Linked DNA regions of Yarrowia lipolytica. The protein of the gene in region 2 purifies or fractionates together with the protein of the main gene of each other region. This does not show direct contact. Links are inferred from orthologs where the notes say so. Each region holds a gene or a part of one and is shown on either strand. Other genes may lie near its edges. The genes, in order: YALI1_D09420g and YALI1_C33005g.

Region 1 (14,131 bases), on a different chromosome or scaffold from region 2:
ATACCGGTCGTCGTTCCCGCGGCCCGAGAACTTTGAATATCTCAAGCGGCTCAAGCTCAAGAGCATTCTCGTGCTTATTCCGGAAATCTACCCCGATGAAAACCTGCAGTTCATGAAGGAAAACAACATCCAGTTCTTCCAGGTCGGCATGTCCGGAAACAAGGAGCCGTTTGTCCACGTGCCTCACGACGTCATTACTCGGGCCCTGGAGATTGCCATTAACCCCGCAAACCACCCATTACTCATCCACTGCAACCGGGGCAAACACAGAACAGGCTGTCTTTCAGGCTGCATTCGCCGCTTACAGGACTGGAGTCTCACCATGATCTTTGACGAGTACCGCCGCTTTGCCTATCCCAAGGCCCGGCCTCTGGACCAGCAATTCATCGAGCTGTACGACAGCACCGAGGTGGTTAAACGAGCATGGGACTATGGCTGGTTGCCATTACAGTGGTGAGCACCGACTCACTACCAACAATTTACAATCTGACAGTAGACTCTGTCACATTATGACTCACTAGCTACATAATGTACCATATAGAAACGTGACGCAAGTGAGTGACCGCAGGTCACGAACGGACAAGAACCATTTACGTCATTGGGGTTCATAGGGCTCCCCAAGTCTCTGCACACAGTTGTGCTGGATAGTAGTGCGTGCATCGAGAGACTGATCGAAGGAGGATCAGATATACAATGAAGGTGCAGTTGTGATGGAAGCAGTTGGTGGAGTGGTGTGTGGTTAGATGAATGATAAAACTACTTGTAGCATTACAAGTACACCCGACAAACCAACATTACGGGTCACGTTAGAGTACGAACAGCTATATAGTATAGGCACAGTCATGCTGATGACAAGTTGAGATATAGAAGATGCTGTTATATTTTCCTGACCACGAGAAGTTGACCAATGGTTCTCTAGTGACTATGGAATGGGGTTTCTGAACTCCACAACTAAACATTTACCGCGTAATGACAACTTGGAGACACTCACATACTACAGCAAGCTCAGCAGACTCCACAGAGACATTATACCATTATTAACAAATATTGCAGAATATTTTTGAGATTTCTACCACTGGCTTGTGGTTTCGACTCGATTGCTTTTCCCTGCCTCATCCTCTTTTGTTTCCTTCTCAGTCTCTGTTCATCGTTAACCCTGTGTATATCCAACAGGCGTGGACTGGTATTGCTTCGAGACGTTCATATGAAAGGTTCAGAGGACGTCATCGAAAGAACAGAGACTTCGTTTAGGATAAGTAGCTGGTATTAGTTAGCACTGGTAAAGGTGCCGGGGAGAGCAATAATTGTAGCTGCCTGGTGGTGGCATTCTCATTCACGAGGAAGACTTGAGAGGGCTCTCGAAGAGCGAACACAAACACTAGAAGCCCATGAACTTCGCCAAAACGAATCCAGCAGCTACTCCGCTCTTCTTTGTCTTCAACAGGGTTGGATTGCCGTTTCTGGATCGCATGGATCGCGGGAGCGTAAGTTAAGCATGGAAGTCATGTTGAGTCATTTCGAGTCATGTTGAGTCATTCAGCAGGGGTTGCATGTGCTCAGAGTATTCCACGTGATCAGTGAGCATCATAATTGGTTGTTTCTTGTCTCAACTGACCGCCTCCTTGCTCATAGGCCGGACCAGAACTCTTCTCGAGGTAGTAGCTTCAGAGGAGCTTAGAAAGCGACATTCTGAAGTCGCTGAGTGCCTCAGATCATACGGCATTGTCAAAGTCTCTCAATACCGAACCTGCGAGGCGCTAACCGCTTCAATACCCGCCATGAAACCAATATCGTGGACTTCAGTATCCATGGTCAACTTTATCGACACAACCATGAATGCAGAGAGAGCAACTTCTGTGACAACGGTCGGTAATATCGGGCTCAACTAATAATAGATGACAGATACACACACTACTGTAATCTCTACAGGCAGTTGCACAGTTGATATCTGCAAATTTCGCCCCGATCCCTCTTCACAAGAACTAAAACAGGTACAGCCTGGGATAGCCTCACATCGGCAATTCCACAGAGTTCCATGGACTAAGGATAACTTGGCTACTGGTAGCTAAGTTGCCAACGGTACACAAATTAACGTCAGTTTACTTGTTTGACAGTACTTCTTGTACAGTAACTTTGAGCGTTGCTATTGGTTATACGACTCAAGTGTTTGGTACTGTAAAAGTACTCGTACGGAAGAAGGCAGGAGGATGCACAAGCTACCTGTTCACATAATGCAATCATACAGAGGTCACCAACGAAAGGTATCCTTTGTACACTACTCGTAGAGCCCCATCTCACCATAGCAACCAAGATATAAGTACAGATTGATCTCTTAGCAGTGTCTTGGATCCACCTGAGAACAACGCCTTTGCCTACTAGTAGCTAACTCCCAAGTTAGCTTCCGCCATCTGCACCTGTTGAGTCATTTGAGTCATCCCGGATCGTATCAAGATATGCCGTTTCGTTTCGCCTACAAAAATTTTCCCACTCTTTTCCCTTGTCTCCGTGACTCCCTTGTCTCGCACGGGTCAGACGATACGATCTTGGCGGCGCTTGGCTGCATACGGCGATTCGGTTCTGGCTGGAGCGGTAGTGATTGATACAGACACAAGACTGGCCAACGACCGGCCAACGACCGGTCAAGGACGGTCCCCGTAGAAAACGGCGCTCGCCTACGATACTTGCACTAGCCAAATACGGCGTTAATTTCTTTTCTTTTCATCTGGACGGTAATTTTTCTCTTATCGTTATGCTTTCAAGGTTTGGACTATGAGAGTCAGTTTCAGACTGAGGGGGCGGCTGAAGGAGGATGAACATATGTCGTATATTGGAGCTGCTGAGGATAAAAAAGAGGTGGAGTCGTGGAGGACCGAGTCTGAAAAGTTGATTTTCCAACTCTCCTCGCTTCCAAACTCCTCCTTCACCAACTTTTCAACTCCCCTTTCCGTAGCCACCCTTTTTTTCAATATGCAAAACTTCAGACTAACTCCAGCCAGTTAGCCACAGTTTGACTCAATTGACTCAAACCTTGCGCATGGCCATGCCTGTTACCCTGATATTTTGAGTCATGTATAAAGAGTGGAGAGGAGCGAGTGCTCGAGTCTTGCGAGTCATTCAAGCGAGCCATGAGTCACTACCACGACAAAAACGATATCTCCACTTTTGTGGAGTCGGGTTCTACCAGACCCGTGTCCGCCAGCTCCCTAGACTCTTCTATCCGTCCCCAGTTCCCCGAATCCCATCTCTATGACGACGAAAAGCCTTCTCCAGATGTGTCTGTACACTCGCTGCCCAGAGACACATGGTTCGAGAAGTTCATCTACTACTCGTCTAAGGTCGACTCTCTAGGTGTGGAGCTCCGGGGTATCCAGCGTATCCCTCTGGATGAACGAAAGAAGGCCGATACCAAGGCGTTTATCGACATCTCGCTGTTTTGGATCTGTGCCTGCGGAGGTCTGACATCCATGCAGGGCATGATGCTTGGTCCCCTGGCCTTTGGACTGTCTCTGAAGGACTCCCTGGTGTCCGGTCTACTCGGTGTGTTTCTGGGATCCGGAGTGGCAGCCTATGGAGCTACTTTCGGACCCCGTTCGGGACTCAGACAGCTTGTGGGAGCCCGAATCTTTGCCGGCTGGTGGCCCACCAAGGTGTTTGCCCTGCTGTCCATCATTGGAGGCCTGGGATGGTCAATTGTCAACTGCGTGGTCGGAGGACAAGTTCTGGGCTCCGTGAGTGATGGAAAAGTGCCCCTAGAGGTCGGTATCACCATTGTCACCGTCGTCTCTTTCTTCACGGCCGTATTTGGAGTCCGAGCAGTCATGTGGTTCGAAAAGGTGTTTGCGATCCCACTCAACGTGGTCTTCCTGCTGCTCTACGTCTGTTCCCACAGCTATTACGACGTGCACGCCAAGAGCCAGGGCACCCATCTAACCATTGCCGGCAACTGGCTGTCCAACTTTGCTGCCTGCTTCGGAATCACAAACACCTGGATGCCTTTGGCAGCAGACTACTACGCCCAATACTCACCGTCGGTCAAAAACTGGAAGATTGTCACCGTCACCTGGCTGTCCATCTTCATTCCCTCGGCCTTTGTAGGTGTTCTGGGCACTCTTCTGTCCACTGGAGTTAATACCAACACGGAATGGGCCGCTATCCACGACAAGTGGGGCAACGGAGGACTCATCACCGCTGGATTTGCCAAATGGAAGGGCGGAGGAAAGTTCCTCGTCGTTCTTCTCTTCATTTCCATCATCTGCAACAACATCCTCAACACTTACTCCTTTGCACTATCCATCCAAACCTGGGGACGAGCCGTCATGAGAGTCCCCCGGTGGTTCTGGTCGTTCATCTGTTGCTGTATCTACTTTGGATGTTCCATGGGAGGACGATACAAGCTGTCCGAGTACCTCAACAACTTTCTGCCCATGATCGGCTACTGGGCCCACATCTTCTTTCTGCTCATTCTGCTGGAACAGATCCTCTTCCGACGAAAGAAGCTGCCCGTGGAACCCGGACATGAGGACGAAAACGACCCCTACTACAGATGGTACCTGTGGGACTCGCCCGAGAGACTGCCCCACGGAATCGCGGCCTTCTGCTCCTTTCTTCTGGGAGCCACAGGAGCCGTTCTGGGTATGTCTCAGGTCTACTTCCAAGGCCCAATCGCCAAACATGTTGGTGCCTATGGAGCTGATCTGGGTCTTGAAGCTATCACCTTCTTTGTTTGTATCAGCTACCCGATATTCAGATACCTCGAGGCGAAAAGGTGGCCCGAGCGGTTTGCTTGATTATTTATTGTAATTGATTATCCACCAAGAGCTGTGGAATGTGCGAAGCGACAAAGAACTCTTGATCAGAACGTAGCACGTAGTACTCTGTTCATTAACTTCACGCACGCGCTAAACACGCGTTACACCGCTACATCTTTATCAATCATGCCTATTATTTTATATGGTCAACGTTATTCTTTTTTTGTCACGCAGCGGTTGATACACACCAACTGCATGCAGCGGTCTCCGTTCACTCGCTATGCCCGCAAGCAGGCTTACTGAACGTAATCCCAGGCGTCAATCTCAACGCCAATTCGCTGCTTGGGAAGCAGATCGACCAGCAGCTTGTTAGGCCGGGTGTCAACACCGGACTTTCGGGCAGCTCGGTACTGGTGCACCTGGCCAAGGTACTTGTCAAACAGAATGGAAGTATCGAGAGGACCGCCCTTGGCCTCGGGATGGAACTGGGTGGAGAAGATGGGCTTCTCGGTGTGGATCATACCCTCGTTGGACTGGTCGTTGAGGTTGATAAAGTAGGGCTTGAACTCGGCAGGCAGGGTGTTGACGTCAACGGCGTATCCGTGGTTCTGGGAAGTGATGTGGCACTGGCCGGTGGTCAGATCCAGAGCGGGGATGTTGTGAGCTCGGTTACCGTACTTGAGCTTGACGGTCTTGGCGCCGGCAGCCAGAGCCAGCAGCTGGTGGCCGAGACAGATACCGAAGATGGGCAGCTCGGAGAGCTCGGGCTTCTCGTACATAATGTCTCGCAGGTTGAGCACGGTCTGCTGGCAGTGAGTGGGGTCACCGGGGCCGTTAGAGATGAAGATACCATCAAAGTGGTGGGCAATGTCGTTGATGGGGTATTCGTAGGGGAAGACGGTGATGGAGGCACCTCGAGAGACAAGAGATCGCAGAATGTTCTCCTTGACACCACAGTCGATGACGGCAATGTGCAGGGGGTTCTCAACGTCGGCAGCGGCAGACACGTGGAAGGGCTGCTTGGTGGACACTCGTCGCACGAGGTTGATCTCGCCGGGGTCGACGAAGGCGGCGTCCTCCTCGGCGTCGTACTCCTCGCCAACGGTGATTCGGCCCAGGGACGAGCCCTGCTCTCGAAGGTAGGTGACGATGGCTCGGGTGTCGACGCCAGAGATGGCAGCGACTCCCTCTCGCTTGCACCACTCGCCAAGGGACTCGACGGCGGTCCAGTGCGAGTACTTGAGGGCGGCGTCAGCGACGACGATGCCAATGCACTGGATGTGGGGGGACTCAAAGTACTTGATGAGACCAAAGGGGTCGGTCTCCTTGCCGGAGGGTACTCCGTAATTACCGATCAGAGGCTGGGTGAAGACCAGAATCTGACCTCTGTACGAGGGGTCGGTCATGGACTCGGGGTAGCCGACCATACCAGTGGAGAAGACGGCCTCGCCGGACACGACTCGGTTGGCTCCAAAAGATCGGCCGGTGAAGACGGGGCCGTTCTGCAGAGTGAAGGTGGCCGGGGTGGCAGAGGCAGAGGCAGTGCCGGAGGCGGTAGTGGCCATGAATCGGGTCTGGAAGGACGCGGTGGTTCGAGGGGCCGATCGGGCCATGGAGGCCAATCGAGCAATGTTCTTGAACATGTTGTAGAGGTTGTTGTACGGTGGTGCGTGGGGGTAAGAGATTTAGAACGACAGTAGAGTCAAATTAGTGGGTGCTGCACTTCCAAATATGGTCTGGGTTAGTTGCTGTACAGTGTGTGCAGACGGCAATGCAGGATGCGTAGTGTGCTTTTGTTTGTGGGGTGTTTGTGACTTGTGTTTGTGGTGAACAGGAGAAATGTTGTGTGTGCACTTTTTTTTCTTCCCGTCGCTCTCTGATTCACCGATAAGTGAAAGTCTAAAATGTCGATGAAAAAAAAAACCAGCTTCACATGTGGGCGCAAAGCTTAGTCGGAAGACTCGGGATCACCGGAAGGACTCGGCGGAACTTAATCGCGCCAAGCTGTGGAGGAAGGGCGGTGATGAGACGACGCGGTTTCATCTCTCAAACTTGTCGTGTCGTCTTCTGCTCCTCGTCTTCCACTTGTTTGCCCCATTATGATTGCCCAAGGCTTATCTTAGGCTGTCTCATAGTTTGGCAATTGAGTTTGACGACGATTGACTGGGACCGCTTGACTCATAGTAGAGTTCGAATGGGAGATACCGAACAACCAGTCAACGACAGGCCCAGTCGCTACCCACAAAAAAAAAAGGCTGTACGCGGGCGACAGCTGAACAGTCGTATCCCTCCATGCTCACTCACGCATTGTGGTCCATTCCGCAGTGCCACGTCACATGACATGAACAACGCCACAGAGCTGCTCATGGAGCCTCCCCCCTCGCAGCCACAGTCGCCGCCAAAAGCCACAAAAGCACTCCTCAATTTCTCGTACTCACCACAAAGATAATCCTGGCTGGTTGAATGGGAAGAAACACGCATATATACCAAGCTGGCAGCTAGCGGTGTTTGGTCAATGGGGTTTGAGAAGATGTGTAAGAGGTGAGAAGCGGAGCTCGGAAAAATATATATTGAAATTTTGTCCCAACCCAACGCACGCCGAACTTTGTCATGGCGCTACTGAGACGCGCAAATAGCACATCCACTCGTTATTTACCGACACAACTAGCCGGATCACTTCCCCCGGTGGGTGCCATGCAGAGTTAGTCATTTGCGGGGGTCGTTTGGGTGCCTAGGACTGGAGATGTCTGCTTTCACTTGCCATTTCTGGCGCAGTATGCGCAGCTCCAATTAGTCATGGAAGATGTGGGTGGGGTGGTCACGTGTATGGTCACGTGAGGGAAATGGGTGGGTTGTTGTCGGATTAGCGAGTGGGATCAGGTTCGAAGCAGGTTTGGATCAGGTTATGATCACTATCAGAAGTGAACAGATGACGATTATGTTGCAAATTTCAGCCCTCAATTCGAATAAGGTTCACTGTACCTCGACAATGTGGGTCCTTCAAGACGTTGATAAAAGACAATGAATCAACTAACAAAACTGTAGAGAGATTTAAACCAGGTCAATTATGTTAAATTTCGAGTTTCATAGTTGTGATTGGCTCACAGGACCAGTTACACCTCCTTCGATTTTTTCTTAGGTGATAAACAAACTTTATGCTGTACACTTGACTTTCCACTTAGCATTCCTGGTTCAGTAGTCTGCATAATCTCTGAAATTTACACCACCACGAATACATCCACTACAACCATGCCACCTCGAAGAAGAGATAACTCGCGGGACTCATATCGGCGCCGAGATCGTCGAGATGACAGGAGGGACGATCGGAGAGGTGATAGGGACGATCGAAGAGGTGATAGAGACGATCGAAGAGGTGATAGAGACGATCTCCGAGACGACAGACGAGACAGAGACAGAGGAGGCGACAGAGACAGAGACGACCGAAGAGGAGGAAGACGATACAGAGACCGCAGTGACCGAAACGACAGTCTAGACCGCGATCGAAATGCGCGACGCAATCGCGAACGAGACAACCGGGATCGAGAACGCGAGTCTCGTAACAGAGACCGAGAAAGACGGCCTCGATGGGACGTCAGGGAGAAGTCGCCTGTTCAAAAGCGCCATGCTCGGGAGTTCAGTGATGACGATTCGGACGAGGAGGAGGAGAAGAAGGACGTGCCCAACTTTGAGTCGGGCGTCTTGAGTGGAGGAGGACAAGACAAGAAGAAGGACGAGCTTGCATCAGTGGAAGTCAGGGATATCACATACTCGGAGCCCGTGGATGCTGGAGAGCCGCCACAGAGCAACCCGTTCAATCTGTTTCTGTTTGAGCCTGGCCAGGACGACCCGATCGAGAAGCTGGTGCTCGACAAACGGGGCTTCTATCGGTTTGGAAGAGACTCGCAGCTCAACGACGTGCCTCTCCATGAACTGTCGTGCTCAAAGGTGCATGCTGCTTTGCAGTTTCGCAAAATTGAAAACGTGAATGACGAGGGTGAAACGTCGTTCCAGACGAACCTCTACGTCATTGATCTCGACAGCACTAACGGCACCTTCATCAACGATAAACAGATTCCCACCAGCCGCTATGTCCAGGTGCTGCCAAAAGACGTGCTTAGTTTCGGAGACCTGAGCACGGATTATGTTGTTGTTAGAGAGGATGAAAAGAAGGAGCAACAGGGTTAAAAAGAGACATGTCCTTGACTGTAGTACAATCGCTGTGCACGCTACGCCATTGACAAGAATCGCATTGTATAGTATATTATAATAGCATTACTAAAAGGATACCGCGTGTACTTGTACTGGACTGGTAACAAGCCAATCGCCGAGTCGACCTTCGGAAAACCCTGGAAAGTGCGCTTCCGATCTCCCCATCTTTGCTCCAGCCCTCGACAATGAGAACAGAGTGTGTTGCAGATCCTCCCCGACCTCTGTAGACAACCCGTCTGGCGTTGCAACTGTCATTGGCCAGTTTCAAGGGCGTCAATCACAGAGTAGGTGATTATTTCGACGTGGTTCTCCAAAGTCTGCCAATGCGGAGAGACTTATGAATGCCAATCTCAAACCCGTGTCCCTGTCGATTGTCTGCGAACTCTCTGGAGAGGATGTATTTTGTATTGCTACCCGGGACAAGAACTGGAACTTCGTATTTGGCAAAATCTTAGCCACCGGAGTCATCAGTTGGAATGGCAAGTGAGAGTGGACCCTTACAACTGAGATAGGGGTATCTCTACAAGCAGCCCTATACCAGTTGACCGAAGGCACGGTTTGCAACATGCCAGGAGGCTGGAGAGTTTTGTTGACAATACCAATATGGCCCGAGGGTAGTTTGGTCTCAATGTCGATTGAAAGGAGCGTATGAGTGGGGCCGAAATCTCAAAATCAAGGCTTTGCATCATGGTCTTCTTCCTCAGCTTCCGGCTAGTGCATCTTGGTAAAGATGGCTGTGTTATCTCCAGCGAGAAGTCGCGCCGAACGCATTAAGGGTGCCATCTCAAGCTTCTTCTTCCCCTCTTAGTCGGCGTCATACTCGTCATCCTCTTCCGCACTTTGGAGGAACTTTTAATTCGTCTCCAAGTTGCGTTTGGCCAAGAACCTGTCGGCCGATTCAACCACCTCTTGTTGGGACCGAGAGGCTTGAACCGCAGTTCCTTGACATTGTGTCCTGGAGACACTGACGGGGCCTGGACCAATTCAAAGACCTCCATCAACACGGTGTGGGTCTGTATGGTGAAGAGTGTTGTGAACGACATTAAGTGCTGTGAACGACAATCGCTTGTATGTGGATGGCGGTACAAGGAGTAACAGTAGGCGCGTATGAGTGCAAGTACACTCAAGTTGCTAATGAGAGCAAATGCTCGTACTTTTCTTAGCATGATCGTAAAAGTCATCCTGGCAAGAAGTAGCATATACAACCCATTTCTCGACAGCAAAAAGACCATAAGACACATAGAAGCCATCGGGTTTCATCTCTCATGCAAAAGTACATTCAATATATCTAAGGAAACATCTCAAATGATGGCACACTGTTCTGATTGCTTGTACCATTGCGTTTTTGTACATACAGGAGCACTGTACCCCAATCACCTTGCTCATCTACGAATGTAGCTACTTGAGTCCGCAAACAATCACTTGGCAGTATCACCTTAGCTTGATACGAGAGTGTTAATGTTCTCTTAGCTGGTGCTCGATGTACTCGCAGGTGCCCACGATTTGCTCACAGTTCCGCACCATATGCTCCGCTGTTCGTGCTGTTACTTCAGTTAATCAATATATACAAACTATTTACCATCTCGCTCGGCCTGCAGCTTCTTCTGGTGGGCATCCACCAGCTCCTTCTGCAGATGAGGAGAGCAAGGGGCGTAGTGAGAGAACTCCAGAGAGAACTCTCCCTTACCCTGGGTGCAGGCTCGAAGATGGGTGGCAAAGCCAAACATCTGGTTGAGGGAGCATTCTCCAGACAGAGTCACCTCCTCGGAGCCGATATCCTGGTCGGAAATCAGCGCCTGGTTCTTGTTCATCAGAGCAATGAGAGCTCCCTGGAACTCGACAGGTGCAGTCAGAGTGACGGTCATGATGGGCTCCAGAATCACGGGAGAACACTGCATGAAGGTCTCGTAGAAACCTCTCTGGGTAGCAACCTTGAAGGCCAGCTCGGAAGAGTCGACAACGTGGGTGTTACCATCGTTGATGAGCATCTCGACACCCAGAACTCGGGAGCCGGTCAGGGGACCCTTCTCAGCAGTCTCGTGGAACGATCGGTCACAGGCCAGAATGAACTTCTCGGGAATCTTACCTCCGACAATCTCGGACTTGAAAATGTTCTCGGCGGCAAAGGTGGCCTTGCCCTCGTTGACAGCATTCATGTCGGTGACAGGAGACATCTCACCAATGATTCGGGCGTACTGACCGGCACCACCAGACTGTCGCTTGTGGGTGAAATCAAGGGGAGCGGCAGTGGTGATGGTCTCTCGGTAGGCGACCTGGGGCTTACCGGTCTCGCACACAACGTTGTACTCTCGCTTCATTCGCTCGACGTAGATTTCGAGATGCAGCTCGCCCATTCCGGAGATGATGGTCTCCTTGGACTCGGCGTCAAAGTGGACTCGGAAAGTAGGGTCCTCCTTCTGGAACCGGTTCATGGCCTTGGAGAAGTTGGTAAGAGAGCCCTTGTCCTTAGGGGTGATGGCCAGAGAGATAACGGGATCGGGAACAAACATGGAAGACATGGAGTAGGTGACTTCTCCGTCGGTGAATGTGTCACCAGAGGCACAGTCGACACCGAATGTGGCACAGATCTCTCCGGCACCAACAGAGTCAACGTCCTCCATTTCGTCGGAGTGCATTCGCACCAGTCGGGCCAGCTTGGTCTTCTTTCCGGTCTTGGCGTTGATGATCGACATGCCCTTCTTGAGCTGGCCCTGGTAGACTCGCAGGTAGGTCAGCTGACCGTACTTGCCATCTTCGAGCTTGAAAGCGAGGCCGACAAAGGGAGCCTTGGCAGCAGGGGTCAGGTGCACGGGAGTCTCGTCTTTCTTGATATCAAGAGCGGTGTTGACAACGTCGGAGGGGTCGGGAAGGTACTCACAGATGGCATCGAGAACGGGCTGGACTCCTCGGTTGGCCAGAGCAGAGCCCATGAGCACGGGAGTGAAGGTTCGGGCAATGGTGGCACGTCGAATGGCTCCTCGAAGTTGCTCCTCGGTGGGAGTCTCCTCGAGAATGTAGCACTCGGCAATCTCGTCATCAACATCGGCAAGAGTCTGGATCAGCAGGTCTCGCTTCTCGGCAACAAGCTCCTTGAGGTCCTCGGGAATCTCGGCAACTCGAATAGTCTCTCCGGAGGCACCGTCATTGTAGTAGGCAACCTCCTTGACAATGTCCACAACACCGGCGAGATCACCCTCGGAGCCAATGGGCACCTGGATGGCAGCAGCTCGGGTCTTCAGCTTGGCGTTAATCTGGTCAATGGCCTTCCAGGGATCGGCGCCCATTCGGTCCATCTTGTTGATGAAGGTGACTCGGGGAACATTGTATCGTCGCATCTGTCGGTCCACAGTCATGGTCTGGGACTGAACTCCAGACACAGCACAGACAACAAGCACAGCACCATCGAGTACTCGCAGAGCTCGCTCAACCTCAATGGTGAAATCAATATGGCCGGGGGTATCAATCACGTTGAAATGGTAGTCCTGGTTCTCCTTAATCCAGGTGGCGTAGGTGGCGGCAGACTGGATGGTGATACCCTTCTCTCGCTCCAGATCCATGTGGTCCATCTTGGCTCCCACTCCGTCCTTTCCCCGAACCTCGTGAATCTCCTTGGTTCGGCCAGTGTAAAAGAGAATTCGCTCGGAAAAGGTGGTCTTTCCGGAATCAATGTGCGCACTGATACCAATGTTTCGCATTCGAGCCAGACGCGTCACATCGTCGGCGGTCACAGACCCCTTGAGCTGGTTCACCACGTCCAGCTCCTCCTGGTACGTGGTTCCAACAGTCGTGTTTTCCTGACGAGCAGCAGCGAACGACGAGAACCCTCGGGCTCCCAGCCGACTCACGGCCCTGAGACTTCGGATCATTTTGTGTGGTAGTGCAGAGATGAAAACCAAGTGATTACAGACCCAAATATCACTGCAGAAATTTTAAATTTTTCACGGCGGGCAAAAACCGACTTTGAGGGTTTATCCACAGAGAAAGCGAAAGGGAACGGAGGGGCCAAGTCACGTGATATTAGTAATCACACAGATGACGGACGGCCCACCAGAATGCCACCCTCTTTTTCGTCTGTCACCAAATCGCCCTACACATGTCCTATACTTGTCTCCGTATTGGTTGATCTGAAACTCCATTTAAGGTTCCGGAGGGTACATTCGGAGAAGAACGTTTGAGGAGGATAGAGACATGATGAGAAAAAAATAAATACACCATTGCAAGTTTGGGGTTTAGGAGAGTCGAATGATGTTTTCAAATTTGAGATTTGGTCATTTTTAATAAATTGAAAGGTCCGGGAATTTCGTCACGTGATTTTAGCTGGAACCTTAAGCTTATTTTGACAAATTTTGAAGCCTGTGACAGATTGGTGAATGGATCTGGAAGAAAGATTTGGTAGTTGCAATAGGATGATTCTCGTCTAGATCTACCTGGGGCAATTTTCAAGAAACATCTCAGCAGTATTTTTCATCAGCTTCCTATTTGGAAATTTCAAACGTTTATGCACAATTGATTGTAATTGTACCATCTATGCCTGTCTATATTCAATGGAATATACACAGCGAGATGGAACGGGGCACCTGTCCGATGACTAAGGAGGTGCACGTGATATGATTACATAAGCGATTGGAGTTGGCTGCGCGGTTTGTGGGAGGTTGGGTCTTTGACGGGCATTCAATTGGTGCTGAAAAGAACAACGGTGACCGAATCTACCGAGATGTGTGTCGCCCATCAACCAATACGAACGTCGACAATGGCGCTTACCGCCGTCGTGGTTCTTGTCTAGCAATCGTCCGCGGATCTTTGTTCTTGTCTGGCGTCTTCTCAGACATGTGTTCCTCGCATTATCTGGCTTAAATCAGTACATGCCCGGGTGCATTTCTTTTGTGAGGCGTCCGAAGTGGCCTCCAGGTCTCACAGACTATCTCAATTAAGCCGCAAGATCAATCTAGATGAGACAGATACTGCTTTGGCACGGTGTTTTGACTACTTGTAGGTTTGGTTGCAAGGCTGGACTTGGCAAACTGGTAGTGGAGGATGATAGCGGAGGATGATAGCGGAGGATGATAGGTGGGTTTAGTGGCCTTCCAACTGCTGGAGGTTAAGTGGTTTCTACGATCCGATAGGTAGTACACTTGTAGCGGAGTTTCGGGAGTCACATGCGGACTCCGGCTGTT
Region 2 (16,018 bases):
GTGAATTGAGCGACTTTTCTGTAGGCAGCAGGTCTATAGCGTCAAACTCGGCATTCAGGTTTCGGTTTGAAGTGAGAGATGCCAACTGGTAGTTGAGAGTCACCAGTTTCTTGCCTGAGCTTCCCAGCAGGTTCAACAGGCTCTCAATTTCAGCCTTGGACAGGTTCGACAGCTCCTTCTTGACCTCATCCTTTGTGAGAGATGCAAAGTTACACAAACTCGCGAGTCGCAGCTTTTCAGGCAGATTCTCGAATGCATAGAGCTGGAACTTTTCCAGATACTGGGTCTGCAGCTTTCGCACTTGCAGAGGAGTCAGCTCTTCGCCGGAGAAATCGTCCATGGGAAAATGCACGTAAAAATCGAGGGTCTTGAGCAAATCGGCGTTACACTTCTTCAACAATGAACACACATTCTTGGACTTGATAACACTGTTGGCGAATCGTCTTGAGGGGATTTGCGACACAATAGAGATGAGAAAACACAGATATGTGTCAACAAACTCCGTATCGTGCTCCTTCTGTAACATGATGTCTGTAAGTGTCGATAGAAACGAAGACTGTTTATCGATGTCCTCCTTCTTGTCGCCCTTGTCGTAGGCTTTCATGGCGCCTCTCCAGAGCTTCCCCAGTCGCTTGTTTCCCTTGAGCAGGTTCTCTCGCACCTTCTCGTCCATATGCATCCATGTGTAGACCGACACCAATGCTCCTGCCTCTGATCGCACCAACTGAGAGTCAAGCCACTGGAAAGAAACGGTCAGAAACCGCAGTAGTTTGGTTCGCACTTTCTGGATCCGTGTTGGCTTGTCTCCGGCCACGAGATTGAGTACCGTTTTGTAAAAATGGCCAAAATTTTCGGGGCTCTTCTCGAACACCGTCCATAGATCGAATCCGTCATTGGCCTTGGCAAGAACAAGGAGTGCCACGACAATGGCATTTGTGTTGGCCTGTTTCTTGTTGTAAACTGGCCATAATCTGGGTTAGTAAGGAGTTCTAGCGGTGTTTCTGTGTCTGTGCATCTCTCTATACTCACTTCTCTAGTCCATTCAGAGACTCTAGGGTATGCAGGTCGCGATCATTGAAGCCGTTCTTCTCGATGAATTGATAGACTGAGTTTATCGACACGTTATCCTTGTTGAGCAGCGCTGCTAGAGGCGAGATCTTGAGCAGGTCTGTCGATAGGGCCATTTTATTGTCGTCACAGAGGTGATGGCTTAGTCAACAAGCACTACCCTACAACATGGATAGTACACTGCATGAGCAGGGCTAGGGCAGAAAAGTTAATGGGAAAAAATTAGTAGGTGCATACAACTTTTTGACCTTACAGTGAACTCATCACAACCTCTACTACAAACATCACACAAAAATGAGCTTCAGAGGACGAGGCGGATTCCGAGGTGGCCGAACCGGCGCACCCATGCAGATGGGCCCTCCCGATCAGGTGTTTGAGATGGGTGCCTTTCTGCACGCTTGCGAGGGCGATATCGTCTGCAAGTCCATCAATGAGAAGATCCCCTACTTCAACGCCCCCATTTACCTTGAGAACAAGACCCAGGTCGGCAAGGTCGACGAGATTCTTGGCCCCATGAACGATGTCATGTTCACTATCAAGCCCTCCGAGGGCTTCCAGGCCGCTTCTTTCAAGTCTGGTGACAAGTTTTACATTGGCGGAGACAAGCTGCTGCCGCTGGAGCGATTCCTGCCCAAGCCCAAGGCCACCGGCGTTAAGAAGCCCAAGGCTGCTGGAGGACGAGGTGGTGCTCGAGGCGGTGCTCGAGGCGGCTTTGGTGGCCGTGGAGGTGCTCGAGGAGGCTTTGGTGGCCGAGGCGGTGCTCGAGGAGGCTTCGGAGGTGCTCCCCGAGGCGGACGAGGTGGCTTTGGAGCTCCCCGAGGTGGACGAGGCGGATTTGGAGGCCGAGGTGGAGGCCGTGGTGGATTCGGCGGTGGACGAGGTGGCCGAGGAGGTTACTAAGGTCTGTCTGATATCAGCATCAATTAGCCACTTACACAAAGTCTGGGGTGAGATTTCCAAATCCCCACTCTGGGCCCATCGCATGTACTCTTTATTTTATTGATTGTATTATACCTAGTAAAAGTTATACACTTACTGCCACAGACACTTCTCACAGATCGTAATCAATATCGACTTTTGATAAATTTTCAAATTTTCAAATTTTCAAATAAGGTTGCAAAAAATTCACACCCCAAAAAGTTGGTCTGTAGTTGGACTTGAGAAGTTCAGTTACCCGGCAGTTCCTTGGTTTCGGAGATATCGGAGATTAGTGCGGCAGACGATGAGTCGGTCGACGCAGCTCCCTCGCTCGTCAGGTACGCCTTGATGTTGGAGACCATGTATTCTCGCACGTAATCCACATCTCGCTTGAAAACTGTGGTCGCCGCAGTCGCCAATTTCTTGGACCATTCCAGAGTGGTCAACTCCAAGCCCGTGGCCTCGTTGAGCACTGTGGTCGGAGGGAAGCCCACGTTGGAGGCGGTTCCCACAAACCACTCAATCCAATAGGCCATTTTGGGGTAAGTCGGTTCGGGCATTGCGATATAAGAGATGATTTGCGAGAGAAAGGGGACTCTGGGGCGGAAAATATTAATACTTATATACAGAGCTGTTGCTTTTTTGCACGAGCTCACTAGCTTTGCTACTTGTAGCAGTGGCTTCAATTACATTGCTCCATCAGCTAGTGCGGGGGAAGACAGTCTAGTGGGGATGAGAACGTGTCTGTCTTCCTATTTGTCAATTGGAGGCTAAAAGCACTCCTCCTCAGAAATGAGAACGTCCTCAAGACATGCCATACTTGGCCATCTCCTTCCACATTTTCTGCTCGTGGAAGCCCATGCCGCAGATCTGTAGAATGGCGTTTCGTACAACACTAATGCCACTTCCGCCAAAATCATGCTTGTATCCCTGCAGCATTTTGGGGCTATTGCTGACAGCAATGACCCGCTCTAGGGCCTTGGACGGGCACTCAGGAGTGTCCATTTTCTTCACCTGCACCAAAATTTTACCTAGCTGTGTCTGGATTGAAGTCTCGGCTAATAGCGCCCGTCGTGCCCACTTTTCCTTTTGGGGCTTTGTCAGTTTGACCATTTGGCTTCCACTTTTAGGAGGATTAGCAGCCAACCACATTTCGCGGCCCAGTGCCTCGAGTTTCTTGTCTCCTCCCACAAGCATGTCGCTCTTTGTGAGCACCACCTGCCAGGTGACTCCGTACTTGTTGAGCGTCGAGAGCATGTACTTGTCCTCGTCCTGAATGCCCCTGGTTGCGTCAATTACAAGAATGGCCATTCGCAGGTTAGTTCGTCTTTCCAAATACTGCTCCACTACCGCGCCTTGGTCCTTGAGCGACTTGTAGCCGTAGCCGGGAATGTCCACCAGTCTGATCTGGTTGCCTCCAGAGTTTGGAATGGTGAGACCATAGCAGTTGAAGGACTTGGTGAAACCGTGTTTTTTGGATATCACAGGAAAAGCAGAGTTGATTGAGTTGCTCAACGAGCCCTTGTGGCCCTTCTTGGACGTGGGGGAGTGTAGGTGCGACTGTGGAACGTCGGGTCGACCCCACGCCAAGACGTGCTGGACCAAGGTGGACTTGCCCGCGTTTGTGTGGCCCATAAACACTATTTCTGGGAAAATCTCGTTCTTGTGTACTTTTTTGAGATTCTGGTTAGTGGGGATATTGGCCTTGATCATCCGGGTGTTGGCGTTGGAGGCGGCTTCCAGAGCATCGTACTCGTCTGAGCCCACCTCAAAGTCCTCCTCCTCACGCAGCTCGTCGATCATCGCCCAGTCGTCGCCCTTGGTGCGTTTCTTCTCATCAACGGGAGCAGTGGGAATCTGGTCAAAGGAGAAGGCTGTCCACCACCGTTGCAACTTGCCTTTCTTGAACACTTGGTCGGCGTACTCAAGAGACTGTTTGTCAGCCTCGGGCATGTGGGTCTCCTGAACATAGAGAGGCGTGGATGTAAGTGTGCGTATTTGCACATATAGCCGGTTTGTGTTGCGTATCGATGGTCGTATATTCCGAATCATTGTGTTGTGTGTTTAACTGACTTGATCCTAGCCAGCTGAAAAATCTCGATTCTTTCTGCACGATAAGAAGCTTATCTGGTGGCGGCGTAAAGGAGGGTAGAAAACTACTCGTACCTGAGTCAGCAATTTATATATATGTGAACAAACACTTGTCAGATAAGTAACCACCATGGTTCTCTCTACACACATCTGATTTTTCCAAAGTTAAGCTACTCGTAGATATGGTCGCGTGACGATATTATTATCATTATTTGTCTTAGAACTAGACATGCTACACACACGATACAGACCAGTGGCTGGGAATATGTGTGTAGCCAGCCGTTAGCGCTCTCTCAAATCTATTTCCAATGTTCAATGAGTCTAATAAGTTATGTACTGTATAATATACGTGTCTAGGTCACCTACTTAGCGGCAAAGACAAGGTTGAAGGAAACGGAACCTCCGGCGGAACCAGGAGAAACGCCAACCTGCTGGGAGCCAGAGGGTACTGAGGGAGCAGACCAGTCGGACTTTCCGCCGTAGACAATGTTGCTGCCGTCCTGAGTGAACTGGCCAGCGTTGTTGCCAGAAGCACAAGAGAACTTGCCGTTAACAACATCGCAGGGGCCCTTGGAAGAGGTAAGAGTGACACCGCCGTATTGGGACTCGCCAAGGGTGTAGGTGGCACAAGTACCGGACGTGTACCAGTTACCATTGGAGATGAGGCATCCAGATTGGCCGGAGATGTTGATGAAGCCCTTGGAGCCGCCGGTGGGAGGATCGGAGGGGTCGGTGGGAGGAGGAGTTCCGCCAGATCCGTCCTTGGGAGGGAACTTGATCTGGTCGGGGCAGCTGGAGGATCCAATGTCGTCAATGGGGAGGTACTGGCCGGACACAACAGAGCCCTTGAGGTGGAAGTAGTACCAAACTTCAGAGATGTAGCCAGACTTGCACGAGATGTGAACCTGCTTACCATCAAAGTTTGAGTTGAGGGCGTTGAGGAAGTCAGTCTTGGCATAGGTCTTGGAGGAGTCGGGGGTGATTCCAGCGGCCTCGAGGAACTTGTAGGTGTTGACGGTCTCAAACACGTTGACAACGGTGTGGGCCCAGTCGGCAAGGGACTGATACTGCGGAGCATCGGAGCTGTAGCACTTGTCCTTAAGGGTGGACATGCAGGTGGCGTGCTTGTTCCACTCGTGGGTCCAGAAGGAGTCGGTGGAGCCTCGGTTGGGGATCCAGATCTTGTTCATCTTGTCGAGGAGCTCGGTCTCTCCGAGCTGCTGCAGAACGGCGGCCACTGACTGCACCTCCATGCTCTTGTCGCAGAACTGTGCGTACGATCCGTCACAGTTATCGGGCCACAGACCGTGCAGGGTGAAGAGGTCATCGGGGCCAATAGCAGGGGTCCAGTCCCAGAACTGGGTCAAGACGAGCACACCGCCAGGGGACTCGGTACAGCAGAGGTCGGCAGAGCCGGCGCCAGAGGAGCATGATACAGGAGTGTCAGCAGGACAGCTCTTGTGGTCAGCAGAAGAGAGAGGGGGCGAGGTGAAGGCGGCCACAGCATCTCGCTTTGTGTAGGGACAAACGAGGGCCGAGACGGCGGCAGCCACGGTAGCGATGGTGGCAAGAGAGAACTGCATGTCTATCTGTGTGTTTTCTTTCCTGTAGTGGTTCTTTGCAAAGGAATGTGGCGGTGCTATATATGGTGTTGTGTGTCGATGTTCACGTCGCAGACGGCGCGTAGGATTGAGTTTGGGTTCGGAGGAGATAGAGTGTGATAGTGTTCCTCGAGAGGCAATTGGAGTGTACACAAGGGGATTATGATGGTGGAGGAATGAAAAAGCAGTGTGTTTGATGATGCTTGTGGAGTGACATTGTCATTGTTACCGCTTGATTTCTAGTGTTTTATGTGCCTCCTTGGTCCGTTATCGTCGCTCCAAAAACCACACAGTGCCTTATCAGCCAATGATAACAGAAAGCAGTACAGTGTGTCTGCAGGTGCGTCTAATTACATCTGGTCAGTGGGACGCTGCACGCAAGCTGCATAACATCCAGGGCCCAAGGTGGGCATCTGTCAGGGAATCTAGTCAGGGGGATTTTCAACGGTGAAGAGCGAGTGATAGCTATTGTGGTGCAAACTACACATTGACGTTGTATAGCAGGGTGGTTATTGCGTCTACAGGTCACATCACACAATGGAATACACATCTTTTTCACACTCATATCCATTACTGTATTATCAACTACTTATAGCGGCCCACAAGCTGTCAAAGTCGATGGTTTGGTTCATCCACGGCTCTCCTCCACCACTGCTAAAGGACAATTTTAGCGAGACAATCTTTTTTGTGCCTGAACATTGCGTAAACCCAAAGATGCAGCTTGAACCAGCCGCTGTGTGTAATATTCAGCCTGTGTGATTGGGCCAAAGACAGTTAGATTTGACTGACGTGGGGCTGCCGTTGAACGTGGCGCGCTACTTGTAGTCTCGGCTATGTCCGGTAAGTCGTGTTTCACGTACCCTTCTTTCTCTTGAAGAAAGGTGATGATTTGCTTGACCAGAGCCTTGGATTCGGGGGATAGTGTTTCCATGGAGAGATGTACAAGTACCGGTACTTGTAAGCTACCAAGGTGGGATATATGTATTCCAATTACTTGACCAGTCAGCTCAGCGCTGTATCCATAACTTGACTGGTCCACTTACAATTGTACGTACTGTACTGTAGTATGTTCTACACACCTGCCACCTGCTGCTGGATCGAAATCACAAGATGATTAGTCGAAAAGCTAAGACAAAGTAGGCTGTATATATGCACGGCACAGGAACACCTCTCATTGTGGGGTCTTTGTGCTGTTTCATCTTTGTCCAGAGTTCAGCGATAATTAACTTGGCGATCACTAGGCGCTGTAATACGGAGCTACTCAAACTTGGAGTACCATGGGTTGTTTGTGGTTGATTGCGGTGGGGCTCAGTTGTGCCTGTGCCTGCGTTGAGTGGCTCTGTCTTGCACTTTGTCTCACGTGCGCGAGCTATCTTGCGGTGCCTAAGCTGTCTTCTAGCCGACAGTGAATGGTAACTGTCCAGTAGCTGTTATTGAGCAACAGTATGTACAGTATTTGTCCGTACAGCTAATTTCAGTAGCATGTTTTCAGTCGTCTACACATATTGTCTACTCTACAACTCACACGCTCTAAATCAAAGGCAATTAATAATTCATCGTATTTACACGGGTTTGCCGCCAATAAACTCGGACCATCGTCGAACCTCGGGAGGAATCTCACCGGTCTTCTTGTTGATTCGGGTGAGCAGACACTCGGACATGAGCTTGGCAGTCTGGGGCTCGTTGAACAGAGGAATGGCAAAGTCAATGGCGTTTCGTCGCATGACGTAGTTCTCGTCAAGCAGAGATTCGGCTCGAGATCGAGTCAGGTTGTAGACGCACTGGATGTCGTACTTCTGGAAAATCTCCCGCAGAGCTCGCTTGTCAGTCTTGGGGAACTCAATGGTGGAGACGTTGGTGGAGGTGGCCTCGGTGAGGATCTGGGCCAGCTCGGGAGAGGCGCAGTAGAGCTTGTAGCCAGTGTTGGCGGAGTTCTTGGCAATCTCAATGAGCTGGGGGGTCAGATCACCGCCGAGCAGGACACCACAGGGGGGCTGGGGGACCTTGAAGCCCATGGTGGACTGGATAGAGGTCCAGTAGGCCTCGAGCTTGTCAGCACCGAAACAGGCAACCTCACCAGTGGAGGCCATCTCGACACCGAGGTAGGGGTCGGCACCAGCAAGTCGGGTGAAGGAAAACTGGGGGACCTTGGTGGCAACGTAGGGTCGGTCAATCTTCATAAGATCAACGGGGGCAGGGACGTTCTCCTGCATAAGGGCCTTGGTGGCAACCTCGATGAAGTTGACGCCGAGAACCTTAGAGACGAAGGGGAAGGATCGAGAGGCTCGGATGTTGCACTCAATGACCTTGAGGGCAGGCTCGTCGGTGCCGTTGGGGACCATGATGATCTGCATGTTGTAAGGACCGGAAATCTCCCAAGCAGCGGCAACCTTCTCGGCAATCTCCTTAAGACGGGCCATGGTCTTGTCATCGAGATCCTGGGGAGGGAGGACCAGAGAGGCGTCACCGGAGTGGATACCGGCGTTCTCAATGTGCTCAGAGATGGCGTGAACCAGCATCTTACCGTTGGAGGCAACAGCATCAACATCAATCTCGTGGGCGTTCTCAATGAACTTGGTGATGACGACGGGGTGGTCGGGAGAGACGGCAGAGGCGTTGTTCAGCTTGTGCTCGAGCTCAGACTCGTTGTAGATGACGGACATAGCGGCACCGGACAGAACGTAAGAGGGTCGGACCAGAACGGGGTAGGAGACCTTGTCGGCGAACTCCTTGGCCTCAGCGACGGAGGTCAGCTCGGACCAGTCGGGCTGGTCAACTCCAATGGAATCGAGAATGGAAGAGAACTTGTGTCGGTCCTCGGCCTTGTCGATGGACAGAGGGTCGGTTCCGAGAACGTTGGCGCCCTGCTCCTGGAGAGTGAGGGCGATGTTCTGGGGCAGCTGGCCACCAACAGAGACCACAACACCCTGGGCGTGCTCGAGCTCGTAGATATCCATGGTTCGCTCAAAAGAAAGCTCCTCAAAGTACAGTCGGTCGACCTCATCGAAGTCAGTGGACACGGTCTCGGGGTTGTAGTTGATCATGATGGTCTTCTTGCCAGCCTCTCGGAGAGCTCGGACGGTAGAAACAGCGCACCAGTCAAACTCAACGGAAGAACCGATTCGGTAGACGCCGGAACCAAGCACCAGAGTACCATGCTCGTTGAAGTCAATGTCGTGTGAAGACGCGTTGTAGGTGGTGTACAGGTAGTTGGTATCGGCAGGGAACTCGGCAGCAAGGGTATCAATTCGCTTAACGAAGGGAGTGATACCGAAGGACTTTCGTCGGGCTCGAACAGACATCTCATCAGAACCAACAGCAAGAGCAATCTGCTTATCGGAGAATCCGAGCTTCTTAGCTCGCTGCAGAATGTCCTGGTTGAGGCCGTTAAGAGACTTGTGGGACTCAAGCTCTCGCTGCATCTCAACGAGGTTCATGAGCTTGTAGAGGAACCACTTGTCAATCTTGGTGAGATCGTGAACCTGGTCAACGGTGTAGTTCTCGTGGAGCAGAGCCTGGCCCACAGCGAGCCATCGTCGGTCGGTGGGGTTAGCAAGAGTATCCTCGAGGAACTCCTTGTTGTTGGCGAAATCGGGGTGGCCCTGGAAGCCGACAAAAGAAGGATCAACCTGTCGAATGGCCTTCTGGAAAGACTCCTCAAAGGTTCTGCCAATAGCCATAACCTCACCGACAGACTTCATGGAAGAGCCAATGTCTCGCTTGACATTGGAGAACTTGGCCAGATCCCATCGGGGGATCTTAGTGACCATGTAGTCAAGAGAGGGCTCGAAGTTGGCGGAAGTAGTCTTAGTCACGGCGTTGGGGAGCTCAGGAAGGGTGTAACCAAGGGCAATCTTGGCAGCAGTGTAAGCGAGAGGGTAACCAGTGGCCTTGGAAGCCAGGGCAGAAGATCGGGAGAGACGGGCGTTGACCTCAATGACTCGGTAGTCGAGTCCGTCGGGCTGGAGAGCGTATTGGACGTTACACTCACCAACAACGCCGAGATGTCGAATAATCTTGATGGCAGCGGATCGGAGCATGTGGTACTCCTCGTCGGACAGAGTCTGAGAGGGAGCAACGACAATAGAGTCACCAGTGTGGATTCCAAGAGGGTCAAAGTTCTCCATGTTGCAGACAGTGATACAGTTGTTGTTTCGGTCTCGGACAACCTCGTACTCAACCTCCTTCCAGCCCTTCAGGGATTTCTCAACGAGAATCTGGGGGGCAAGAGACAGAGACTGCGCAGCGAGGTTTCGGAGCTCGTCCTCGTTGTTAGCAAAACCGGAACCCAGACCTCCAAGGGCGTAGGCGGATCGGACAATAATGGGGTAACCAACGGACTCGGCGGCCTTGAGGGCGTCGTCAACGTTTTCAACAGCAATGGACTCGGCGGTGGGGATATCAATCTCCCTAAGGGCCTTAGCAAACAGGTCTCGGTCCTCGGAGGTCTCCAGGGTCTTGATGGGGGTTCCAAGAACCTTGACATTGTATCGGTCAAACACGCCCATCTTGTTCAGCTGGACTCCGACGTTGAGTCCGGTCTGGCCTCCAAAGGTCAGCAGAATTCCGTCGGGCTGCTCTCGCTCAATGATGTGGATAATGTACTCGGGGGTAACAGGCAGGTAGTAGATTTCGTCGGCAAGGAAATGCGAGGTCTGGTTGGTCGCAATGTTGGGGTTAATGAGAATGGACTGCTTGCCCTCCTCTCGAAGAGCCTTGATGGCCTGAGATCCGGAGTAATCGAACTCTCCGGCCTGACCAATAGACAGACCTCCAGAACCAATGACCAGAACCTTGGAGACATCGACAAGCTCCTTGTCAGCCACCTGGGACAGGATTCCAGCTCCGGCATACTCGGGGGTGGTTGTGTATTTTCGCACGGGGAACTGTGTCAATTTGGTTCGCACGGCAATGCCAGCTCGCAATTGCGGCTTGGCCAGTCGCAACAGCGATCGCGCTATCATTGTCGGGATGGTAGTTGGTGATGTGTGAAGGTGCGAGGTGCAAGTTAAAGTACCTTTATTTTTTTTTCAACTCTCCAAATCAAAATCTTTTACTTGTACCCCGAGCTTAAAATTCGTGCAGACGGAATAATCGGGACACTTGGGCCTGGGGAAGGAAAAAGCGAGCAGCAGTTTCCAATGGGAAAAAATGTGCATACACCCATCTACAAGGGGGAAGAGATTATTTTTACCCGGCCAGTCGATTCTACACCTCGAAATCCACCAGTCGGACCCGTCAGCCTCGTTGATTATAGACTCCAGCTAGAACGGTATTTGACTCTCCCACACCCATTCGCTGCTATCAGAGATAAGGATAGACCTATGACTCAGAGTATGTTTTTGGAGGAGCGTCAGTCTTGTCGGCTGGTGAGCGAGGCCCATGCACTGTGACTAAAATATGTTTGCGGTGGTCCAAGTACGATAGTGGGAAAGAAGGGCCGGAATCCGGAAATTTTATACACGAGTACAGTACTGTACTCGCGTCATTTTCATGATGCGTGGAGACAATGATTCCTACGTGATCTAAGCTCTGTTGAAGTGCTTCTCTTCCAGTAATCAAGGATTCTCGGCAACACATTGAACTTTAAGAGGCGATCAGATACGAGAAGTGGGGCATAAGAGAGAGTGGGAATGCTTCAACAGGGTCATGGAATGTGTTATTGACAGATCCTCACTTGCACTCCCCCCCAGAAGAAGCAGTTGTTACTCTCCTATATGCTGGACTCTCCCGATACAGCTCAACTGCGTACTACCCCGGTTCGATGCACCCCCGCCACGTATGTGTATGTAGGCTGTCGGAGCGGCGGGTTGTTCCCAGGAGCTAGCAATCTACTTGTCGTAAGAAGAAGGAGCGGGCAGTTTTAGACCCATCTGGAGCATCTGGCAAGTACAATCCCCAGCTACACGTTAGGCATGAGTAGAAGTAGCTTGCACCATGCATATGGAAATTTTGCAGAGCTAAAATGAGCCACCAGGTGAAAGTGTCCAAATAGTCACAGGTGCGGCTTATGTGAGATGACTATTTGCGCAGGGAGTGTTTCATGTTGGTCAATGCACATTAGATTGCTCTTCTTTGCTGGCGTTTTTTTTGTTTTTGTTTTTTGGGGAGACCTGATTTGGGTCCAATCTCGTTCTTTTCCACCACCTGCCCATTTGCTTGTTTTGGTCCCTGAACGTTGGACTCATCCGATACGAAACAGAGTTTGAATGAGGTCTGGTGCTTATTAACGTTAGTTATTAGTAGGTTAGGGATTTAGTTAGATTTAGTTAAATTGGTGTGACACTCTCAAGTCACACCTTCCAAGAGCTGTTGCAAGATATGCTGCTGTTATTGATGGTCTTTGGTAGGGTTTACTTGTGGTCGTCCGGTTATGATGGTTTAGACATTCTTGTCCCTTATTTCATGTCATCCCCTTCTGTCTACTGTACAAGAATGTACAAGCCTCCAACATACATATCCAATTTAGGAATCGTAATACGGAGCTTCACGAAGTCGCACTTTTGACCAGTTAACTACAAGTACAGTACAGTACTTGTACTTGTACAAGTGTAAATGTACGCCTAGATGTGGGTCGGAACCCTTTTTTCCCTCCAGCCACACGACCAAAGACCCACTTGAGCACATTGAGAGTCGCCAATGACCCCTCATGCCGAGGCAGCCAGAATCTTAATGAGTGTAGGGTTCGGTTCATGGGATATGAAGTTGGTTCAAGCCAGAATCACAAGACTACTGTACAAGTTGGATATATATTACAAGTACTTGTAAGGAAGGTTATGGGTACTTTCAATATATCAGATTGATCATAATCATGTCCTAGTTACCATGAGAGTACCTTGAGCGTTTCAATTGGTAATATAAAATGTTTGAGACGCGTCAATGGACTCTGAGATGCGCCAATGGACTCTTAGAGATGAAAGGGTCAAAGAAAGCCCTAGCCACGCATGGCATATTACCAGCTGACAAGACATATAATGGCGATGATCTGGAATAAGCGACTGAAACGTGTGGTTCAATCCGCTTCTGCGTGTCCTTGCGTAGTACCTGTATTCTCTCACTCTGTCACACGACCATCAGTATAAACAATAATATTACTTTAAATTTGGACCTCTACAACAGTCCCTCATCGTCCTCCTGCTCGGTAATGGCGTTCTTGATCTTGAGCAGCAGGTTGGTCTTCCATTTGTCGAGCTTGCTGAATTGGTCAAAGTCGTACACCTTATCAGCAAACAGCTGGGGGTTCTGGTTGCTGACAGCCTCACAAATATCCACCAGCAGACCATACTCTCGGGACTGGCCAAAGGCAGGATCCCACTCCAGGTAAGCGTTGATGGGGCCCCCACAAGCAACAGGATCCGCAGCAATTCGACACAGGCCAGCCTTGAACAAATACTCCTTGAGCGACCACTTCATGATGTTGGAATTGAGGTTTCGTCGGGCAACCATCTCGAACATTTCAATGGCCTTGAACAGATCGTCGTTCTCGGCAGACAGTTCCGCCACCTTGAGGTATGCCTTGGAAGATAGAGTCTCTGCTCGGTCCTCGGAAAACCAGTCTCCGGCATCTGTGTAGGCCTCCATGGCCTTGGGAATGTCCTCCAGCTCCTTCTCGTACAGCTCTCCCAGCTCCATCTTGTAATTGGCACCTCGTCGGAACTGACCACGTGTAGTGAAGAACTGAATGGCCTTCTCCAGACACTTGGCGGCCTCCTGGGGTGAGTTGGACCGGTATGATTTGTAAGCCTCGAGCAGCGAGTTGGCGGCCTCGTCCTTGCTCTCGGACTGTAGTTGTGCGTCAGCAGCCTTCTCAAAGCACTCTCCAGCAAGCTTTCCGTTACGCTGTAACTTGTACTGGTTTGCGGCCTCGGTGTAGAGGTCTGCTGCTTCTTCGAATCGGGTCGAGGAGCCGCCGCTCATGAATGAGAACATGCCTCCGGAGGAGGTCATCTTTTTATCGGCTCTAGCAATGAGAGCGGTGACGTCTGACATTGCGTGGTATGGGGGTGATCGATCTAGGTGTGGAGGTTTGTATGTACGTCATACAGACGCTAACTGCACGGGGGCAGGGTTTGGGTTGGAGATGAAAGAAGCTACTGTACAGCATTTGGCGTTGGGGGTTCGAGTCGTGGGGTTGCACATTAAGTCGCTCAATGCAACGCGTCAGATTGTGCAAGGCTGGTAAATAAAACGCGGCAGATATAAAACACGTCAAAACAACAAGACACGGAGAAGGATATGGACATGGAAAAAGACGGGACACAACACACGAAAAAGACACAATCTGTTCAGGAGACTGAGACGCAGAAATCCGAGACACTGTCTACATCAACACCTGACCCAGAAACCATGGAGATAAGTGTAGCTGAAGTGGAAGCGACATCCATGAAGACACACACAGGGGAGGGACAGAGGCAGACACAAGCCAGTGAATCACAAGCGACGAGCGAAGGACGAATAACAACAGTGAACGAAACACAAACAACAAAAGCGACCGAGGGACAAACAACCACAACAGCCAATACACGTGCAATCCCCCAATCAGCACGTTACAGACGTTTAGTCACATCCTCGTCCACAGCACTGGCCCATGCAGTCAAGTCGCTCACTTACAAACGAGTGGCGGCGTGTTATCCAAGCATTGCAAAGACTCCTGCTGGTCAGGAGGCACTCAGAGAAGCCCTTAAGCAGATCTGCAAGGCGTGGACGGACTCAGTACAAACGGAATTCGACGCGATCTTCGATGAACGACATCTCCCGGAGAAACTGGCCCAGTTGGATCAATTGGTCAAAGACGCCAGACTCAGAATGAATTCAAACACAGATCTGCCTATCCATGTCGATAGACTGACGCCAGATCAAATCATCAAGAGCCATCTACGGGAAACTAAACTCGCACGAATCAAAAAGCTCAAACAGCTGGCACAGACAGTCAAGAAGGAGAATGATGAATACCGACAAAAGATCAAGGAAAACAACGACCAAGTCCATACATCGCTCGACAAGTTGCACAAGGTGACATCGGATATTTCAAAGGCCACAGCTGCTACTCAGGAGATGCCTGAGCGGGCAGAACTGTACGAAAGTTGGAAGGCATTATAGGAGGGGTGAACTGTACTAATAGATTATTTATTTGTTCCACGTTTAGCAACAACAGATGACGTACAGCTTCAAAACGTAACATAGAAGCGGCAGATACGGCATTATTGGACTATCTGACCATAAAGGTCACAGTCTCACAGAATGTGGTCCATGCCGTGCAACCAGAAGCTACAGGTAGCTACTTAAAGTATTGTATGAGTACATACCGTAGTTGTAGTCTACAGTAAATTCCACCATCATCACTACTCGCTACGGTGAAAGTACTGCATTTTTTATAATCACATAATACATTTAAACATTAATGAATTACTTACATATCATCATAAAAAGAGATCAGCTCTGGTCCAAAAGGTAATTAGTGGCCTCGGCAACGTTGTATTTGTGCTTCTGCAGCGCCCGCTTGGCCTTCTCCTCAGAGAAACCCATTCCGGTCAGCTCCTGAACAGCTCGAGATCGAGGAGAAGATGCTCTAACGGGAGCAGCAGAGGGAGCACTGACTGGAGCAGGGCCGGAAGACATACCGGCGAAGATCTGCTCCCACTCGTCGTTTCCAGGAGGATTAGCGGGCGCAGGAGCCTGGTTCATGTCGTCAAACGCATTGTTAAAGTCGGTGCTGTACTGCGACTGGTCCATCGAGTTGTTGGCCTCCACGTTGGTGTCCTCAAGATCGGCAAACGCGTCGTCAAAGTCGTCGTTAGCAGATGCAGCAGGCGCATGCTGGTTACCGAAGAAGCCGTTAGTGGAGCCACCATGATGAGGAGAGCCGGGGCCTTCGCTCTCGTCATATGTGGGTGGGTTGGGGGGCAGCTCCTTGTCATTGTTGGACGCAGCAGCAGCAGCAGCCTTCTCCTCGGCAGCAGAGGGGTATGCTTGTGTGGGAGCAGCAAAGCCCTGAGAAGAGGCTGGGGCGGCAGCTGGCTCAGGGAAATGACCAGGGGCAGTATCGTGAACAGCAGTCTGGTCGGGGAAGTGACCAGGAGCAGTGTCAACAGCAGGGGCAAAAGTAGGCTGAGTAATCTCGTGCTGGGGAGTAACCACGTCCGACGTAGTATCGTCATGGTGCACCTCCTTGGGCTGGTAGTTTTTGTACCGGTTGACCCCAATCTCCTCCAGCTCGTCATCGTCAGAAGAGTCGTCGTCAACCACAGCCTTGCCCTTGTCTCGACGGGGCATCTCGTTGATAGAGTGCTCGTTCTCGTCAGCAGACACAAACTCGAATGACTCGTTGCCAGAGTCCTCCT

Evidence for each region.
Region 1: the proteins of YALI1_C33005g (region 2) and YALI1_D09420g purify together in Saccharomyces cerevisiae (affinity purification with mass spectrometry, with the first as the bait; 3 studies listed by BioGRID). This does not show direct contact. The link is inferred for Yarrowia lipolytica from reciprocal best matches to the Saccharomyces cerevisiae genes CPA2 and CPA1.

Annotation. Positions count from the first base shown.
Region 1 is NC_090773.1:934,329-948,459, reverse strand, and holds YALI1_D09420g (uncharacterized protein), read right to left. Parts: upstream 6,392-14,131; coding exon 5,045-6,391; downstream 1-5,044. Other genes in the region: YALI1_D09488g (uncharacterized protein), read left to right, coding at 1-457; YALI1_D09453g (uncharacterized protein), read left to right, coding at 3,126-4,787; YALI1_D09417g (uncharacterized protein), read left to right, coding at 6,682-7,197; YALI1_D09404g (uncharacterized protein), read left to right, coding at 7,998-8,933; YALI1_D09382g (uncharacterized protein), read right to left, coding at 9,728-10,207; YALI1_D09356g (uncharacterized protein), read right to left, coding at 10,529-12,823. UniProt on the Saccharomyces cerevisiae protein: Small subunit of the arginine-specific carbamoyl phosphate synthase (CPSase).
Region 2 is NC_090772.1:3,295,172-3,311,189, reverse strand, and holds YALI1_C33005g (uncharacterized protein), read right to left. Parts: upstream 10,643-16,018; coding exon 7,241-10,642; downstream 1-7,240. Other genes in the region: YALI1_C33100g (uncharacterized protein), read right to left, coding at 1-971, 1,030-1,184; YALI1_C33098g (uncharacterized protein), read left to right, coding at 1,363-1,968; YALI1_C33086g (uncharacterized protein), read right to left, coding at 2,235-2,546; YALI1_C33071g (uncharacterized protein), read right to left, coding at 2,791-4,038; YALI1_C33055g (uncharacterized protein), read right to left, coding at 4,440-5,660; YALI1_C32975g (uncharacterized protein), read right to left, coding at 12,789-13,667; YALI1_C32972g (uncharacterized protein), read left to right, coding at 13,914-14,777; YALI1_C32921g (uncharacterized protein), read right to left, coding at 15,111-16,018. UniProt on the Saccharomyces cerevisiae protein: Large subunit of the arginine-specific carbamoyl phosphate synthase (CPSase).